Linked DNA regions of Tribolium castaneum. The protein of the gene in region 1 interacts with the protein of each later gene in a pairwise test. Links are inferred from orthologs where the notes say so. Each region holds a gene or a part of one and is shown on either strand. Other genes may lie near its edges. The genes, in order: exosome complex component MTR3 and Csl4.

Evidence for each region.
Region 2: the proteins of exosome complex component MTR3 (region 1) and Csl4 interact in a two-hybrid assay, tested with the Drosophila melanogaster proteins (2 studies listed by BioGRID). The link is inferred for Tribolium castaneum from reciprocal best matches to the Drosophila melanogaster genes Mtr3 and Csl4.

Annotation. Positions count from the first base shown.
Region 1 is NC_087396.1:13,655,886-13,659,280, reverse strand, and holds exosome complex component MTR3, read left to right. Parts: upstream 1-1,698; 5' UTR 1,699-1,838; coding exon 1,839-2,001; intron 2,002-2,055; coding exon 2,056-2,741; 3' UTR 2,742-2,766; downstream 2,767-3,395. Other genes in the region: X-ray repair cross-complementing protein 6, read right to left, coding at 1-1,397.
Region 2 is NC_087401.1:17,299,234-17,302,368, forward strand, and holds Csl4 (exosome complex component CSL4), read right to left. Parts: upstream 1,725-3,135; 5' UTR 1,638-1,724; intron 1,582-1,637; 5' UTR 1,425-1,581; coding exon 834-1,424; 3' UTR 778-833; downstream 1-777. Other genes in the region: protein HGH1 homolog, read left to right, coding at 1,931-2,018, 2,065-3,065.

The DNA.
Region 1 (3,395 bases):
ACATCTTCAACATCTTCCTGAGGTTCTTCAAGCAGCTTGGACCTCAAATAAGCCTTTTTCTTGGTGAGGGAAGGATTGGTAAACATTTTGGGGTCATAGTCGAACGTTAGATTATCAATTAGTTCATTGGTTGTTTGGAGCATTTTCTTGGAAAAACTTTCGTTTGGCTCCTCAGAGGCGAGAGCACTTGGGATGGGTTGGTGATCATCATTGAATGGAATTGTTTTAGCGACAAAAACCCTGCTATTGTTCATAAACTTCGGGATAAATTCCACGAAACAAATTTTATCAAGCTTTTTCAATTTTCGGAAACAGACAAGAACTTTGTTCTTTTCCACACAATACTGCCAAAAACTAGCAAAGAGGTCCAGCTCTTCCTTAGGATCCACCTCGATGATTACCGGGTTTGTCAAAACAATGCCCACATCCGTGACCCTGTCAGACACCTGAACTAGGGTGTAACCAATTGGTAGGTCTGTGTTTCTAATTTTGAAGCGTTCACTAACACTGAACTCGAGTGAGCCTAACTCATAGTCAAGCTTGTAGGTTTCAATGGAGTCATTTACTGTTTTTGAAACCTTTTTCAAAAGTTTTCCACTTTCGGAAACGGAAGCGTTGTTGTAAAGTCGTTCCTCTTGGACAAACGACTTCTGCCTGATTTTAAGAAACCGTGTTTGGTCATTCGCAAAAGGGAAAAACAGCAACCTCCTTTGATAAAATCTCCTGACAACTGAGGAAGAAAGTTTCTCAAATAAACCATCTTCATCTTCCACAACTGTCTCAACGGGAGGGCTCTTAATGATTGAAAATAACTCATTGTAGAAAATTTTATAATCGAAGTTGGGCTTCATGGTCACCAACTCGAAAGTGATATCATTAGACTCGAAATTTTTTGCTTCGTTAAGTGCAGCAAATCTTTGGTTCTTGTCACCACGAACGGGGTTATCGTCGTTGGTTATGAAAATGATCGTTCTTTTGTAGAACACCGAATTGACTTCCTTGAACTTTTTTTTGCAAAAGAGGAAAAATGAACTCAAATTTAAGCCGCTTTTTCTTTCATACATATCCAACAATTTTTCCTGCGACAATTCATTCTTTTCTTTAAGCAATTTTATTGATTGTAAGATGTTATCGTTGAAATTGACAAGCGACGCTGAAGCATCTTCACGTGCCAATACCACACCAAAAGGGCTCCAGCTTCGCTTATTTTGGACAAATATTAGCGAATTTGCCAGATTATAACAGGCAGAAATGCAATCCTTAAACGGGGTATTGCCATCGCTTTCGTTTTTAACAAACATCGAAGGGTCGGTATCGATTGCAATGAGGACGAAAGATGGTTTGTAAAACGTGTTAGAACTTGCAGATTCGTCTCCTACGTCTTCGTTATCTGACATCTGAAAAGAATAAGTTCATAAAACATCTTTATTTATAAACGTATTATCAATAGGTAGTAACATTTCTCACCTTGATTAATTAATTAACAGTAAACAATCAAAAAGAACAACAGCAACAAGTTTACACAAAGTTGCGCCAAATTTGACGTTTTGTTGACAATCCCCTTGAAAGCGAACCACCAGAAAACATAAATCCAAAAATGCGAATAAATAAGTCTAACATTTACTCTAACTATATGTTGCTGTACAACGGCACAAATTAATACGCGCCTAACGTAGTTTTTATGAAAAAGAATTAAATTAATTGTGTTTTCTATTATTCGACTTTGTGAGACTTGTAAACCTTGAACTTGGAATGGTTGACAATTAGCTATATAACCTTACTTTTTTCTAACATAACCTTGAACTGAGAGATTTAAAATATAATTTGCAAAATACACTATGCCCGTGGATCACAAAAGAATCAACGGTCCGGAAATTTCAATTCCGTACCAACTATTCGACAAATTAAATACAAAATCGTTGAAAACCCAATTCAGTGAAATAGTGCAGCCGAATGGGACACGAGCCGATGGCAGGACATCAACCGAACATCGAAAAATATGTAATTTGTCTTTAGGCCCTTGCGTGTTCCTTGATCTAATTTTTAATTTTCTAGTCTTGAAAACTGGGGTTGTTAGCCAGGCCAAAGGCTCAGCGTACATTGAATTAGACCAAACCAAAGTAATCGTGTCTGTATTCGACCCCCGCGAGATACCCAACAAAACTGACTACAGTTCCAAGGGCGAAATCTACTGCGAGTTTAAATTTGCACCCTTCAGCTGCCACAAACGTAGGTTGCACCAGCAAGACGCTGAGGAACAACAGTTCAGTGCTATTATGAAACAAGCGTTGGAATCGGCAGTATTCAGGCACGAGTTTCCGAATTTTCAAGTCGATATTTACGCAATGGTGCTGCACAATGATGGGGCTGCTCTAAGTGCGGCTATCACGGCAGCTGGGGTCGCCTTAGCACATGCTGGGATTCCAATGTATGATTTAATAACGTCAGTGACTTTAGCTGTGCAAGGGAATCATCTTTTGGTCGATCCAACTTTAGAAGAAGAACGTTTATGTCAAGTTCCTCTGTTTAAAGAAGAGGAAAACAATCACGGGATTGTTGTGCTGTCGGTTTTAGCGACACATGAGCAAATTTCACAATTTTATCAGAGTGGATATTTGTCGTACGCTTGCTTGAGTTCAGGCATTGAGATGCTTACTAATGCTGCTAAGGACATCGTTACTTTAGTTAAGAAATGTCTTGTGAAACATGTTATTAAGAGTGTAAGAATTGTTGAAGATTAAAGAAATAAATTATATTTTATTTAAATATTTTTTTCACTGTCAAGTAAGGCACTAAAGTTGAATTTTTATTACAAATATGGAGTTAAAAAAACAAAAAAAAATTCGCGAAGTATGAGAACTTTGGGATGTTATGCAACCAATAATACAGACTTTAGTAATTCAGTCTTTTTTAAACACTTTCAACACGATATAATTTATACTGAGAAGTACTTCTTGACATACACTTCAAAGTAGTATTGGAAGAATTTAAGATTTTGCTCAAACAATAAACGAATAAAAAATAATACCTTTTTAATTTTTTTCTTGGTCTCCGTGGTGGTCAAATTCAGAAATTAAACCGTTGAAAGTATAGAAATATGATGTCCTAGACTTTTTGAAAAAAAATTACTTCTTTACAATTTTTTGTATCTTCAACCATATTCGCAGCATTCGCAAAAATATAAAATGGAACGTAAATTGAGCGTTAATTCTTTGCGCACTGTCCCATATTTATCAAAATGCTGGGAATACGGTTGAAGATGCAAAACAGTGTATGGGACAAAGTTGTAGAAAATTAAATTTTCTTTAAAAAAATCTGGACACCATATTTTTATCTTCTACAGTTTAGGTATAAATTAACTTTGCATTACTTGACCACCGGTCAATTCAAACGAA
Region 2 (3,135 bases), on another chromosome or scaffold:
CACTTTCATAAAAAACAACCCTTCAATAAATAAATCTCGTATCTCTGTTCCTAGTTGACCAAAAATTTTAAAATCAAAACCAACTTATTCTCCACTGCAAACAGTTCCCGAAACTAGAAAAAGTATTAATAAAAGTTGAAAAAAAATATAAGGGTGGGTTTTTCAAACTAATATAAACCCCATCGAGTGACCCCTCAAACTTCACCGCCTGAACTGGACATTACAAAAACACAAAAATGTGTAGGTCTTTTATGGCTCCTTAAAGAGATAGCAAAATGACTATTGAAAATTACAATTTCAACCAGACCGTCGCTTAGACTACATCAAGTTGCATCTTTTCTCTCATAGAACAAAATTGCGCCCAACGCTTAGTTTCCGAGATATTTAAAGAATTAGGTTCAAATTCAAATTTTCGCGCCTGCGTTTATTTTTAAGTTTTTTGAGCACGTTTTTCAGGAAGCAGCGTGATTTTTTAAGTTTTTCAATTTTTATCGAATTACGGCTAAACTATTCGAAAAAGTGGAACTATTTTGATCCTTACCTATGCAAAATGATCCGGGAAATCGATTGACATCGAGAAAATCGCCAAATTCCCGATAGTTTTTTAGTTATGATTTTTTTAATGTTTCCAATTTTTGCTTTTGCTTGCAATTTTCTCGAAAACTATTAGTCGGAGAACAATAATCATTTTTGAAAAAAATAGATAATCCAAAGAGCTTTCCAACGATTATAAACTTTATAGGGTTATCTCTAATAGTTCAATTAACTTTTTTGCACTTTTAAGGGACGCAAAAGGGTTTATTAAAATAAACAAAAATACAATTTATTGAACATTATTTCACATCATTTTGCACGCTTTCTGGCACAACTCTTGCAACCTTCCTGGCCTCCTTCACAAACGTCTTGGAGCACTGCATCTCCGTCCAGCTCACAGGCACCATAAGCCCCCCATGTTCCGAGTGCGCCGTCACGACCCCCAGCTCATTCTCAGCCGTGGACAACTGATAAGTGTGAGCTTCCGTGATCGGCAAAACCCTCGCCAGAATCACGTCCCCGGGCCTGAAACTCTTGTAAATCTCCACGCGGTCCTTCTCCGTCGCTCGCACGTCCTCCTTCCGCAAAATCCCGCGATACTGCCGCCCCAAAACCTTATCCCCGACACACTTAATGTAGCATTTGCAAAACTGCTGCGTGATTGTGTGAATTTGCGCTGTGACGATGTCGCCCTGTGACGGCACGAGCGTTTCCTGCCCGGAACTGCGCACTTCAATGATCTGGACGTTGTCTTTGGGGACAATGTCCACAACACCGGCAAGGGTGGCGTAGATGTAGCCCCCACGCTCGTACGTGCCTTGACCGGACACGTGCGAGGGGTCCGACAGGCACAGCCGCTGCCCCGGGAGGCACACAAGGGGCGATGACATGCCCAAAATCAACAAAAAACGAAATTTTTGATTTTTTTTGAGGTTAAGTCAAATGTCAATTGACATGAAGAAATTTCAAAAACTGCGTGTTCCTTTTACTGTCAATATTATTATCACGGCAGACGACGTTCAAAGCCAATCAAAGGCACACAAGGAGCTATAACATGCGAAAAATCAGCACAAAAACGAAATTTTTGATTTTTTTGAGGTTACGTCAAGTGTCACTGTCAATTGTCAAAAAACGAATTTGCAAAATTTTACTTTCTCATTCATTAATTAACATTAATTACCAATTACGACCATTAATTTGGCTACAGAATTAAATAAACTGGTTTATGTTATGTTTATTTAACTACTCATTACACCCTGTATATACATACAACGTAGAGATAAACCTAAAAAAATAATGCCTTACTTATTAGAATGATTTTTTGCCACCTAACCCCACTTTTTTGACAGCTGTCACCCCTCGTGTTTTGTTTTTTTTTGGGGGCTTTAGCCTGATAATGGGTGATTCCGTGGCCGAATTGTTGCAGTTTGTGCATCTGGGGGCCCGTTTGGACCTCAAATCGGTGGCTTTGGGGCACATTTTGGGTAATAGGGTTCGAGGTTAGACTTGTTTTTTGTAATTTTTTTGTAGGTTTGACGGGGAATGCGGACGGAATTGCCACATTAATCAACACACCGTCACTTCTGGTCTCCTTAATCACACTTTTGAGTGATAATAACGCCACAATTGTCAAAGACTCGGCACTTTGCCTTGTTAATGTCTCTGCTGATCACAAGGGGGCCCTGGCATTGCTTGATTTGGACACGAGTGTGGGGTGCCCCCCTTTACAGAGCCCCCCGAGTGACATTACTTCGACTGTTGTTAAATTCGTGACGGACCCCATGAGTAAAATCGCCGATTTTTCCTGCATGATTTTATCGAACTTATCTCGGGCCAATCACGATAAAGTGATTGATGCGCTTGAGAAAAGCGCAAGTTTGGACGATTTGATTGACATTTTCACGAAAAAACAGTACAATAAAGCGGGGGCTAACCTCCACTACTTGAGCCCCCTTTTTTCGAACTTGTCGCAAAGTGGGCGCGTCCGGAGACGCTTCCTGGACCGGATCCACAAACTCGTGCCTTTCATTGAATTCGAGGAGTCGGCCGTGAGGCGCGGGGGCGTCGTGGGGGCCCTGCGTAACTGCACATTTGACCCCGAGTGTCATGAGCTGCTCTTGGGCCCCCATGTCGATATCTTGCCCCGGCTGCTCCGCCCCCTGGCCGGAAACGAGGAATTTGACGACGAAGACAACGACAAGCTCCCCCTTGAACTGCAATATCTCCCGGAGGAGAAACAGCGTGAAGAAGATCCAGATATCAGGTGCATGTTACTGGAGGCTTTGACCCAGTTATGTGCCAAGAGAAAAAATCGAGAATTTATCAGAGAGAGAAACACTTATGTGATTTTGCGCGAGTTGCACAAGTGGGAAAAGGACAGAAAGGTGCTTTTAGCGTGTGAAAATTTGGTCGATATTTTGATACGCACCGAGGAGGAAATTGGAGAAGATGATTTGAAGACACTTAAAGTGCCCCAAAGTTTAAGCGAAGACTTCAATAAAGCGGATGAGCAGTTTTTAAAAGATGAATAAATTTTTTTACAATTAAATTTCGTCTTTCTATATATTTCAAAAATATATAATTTCGGACGAATTAGTTCGG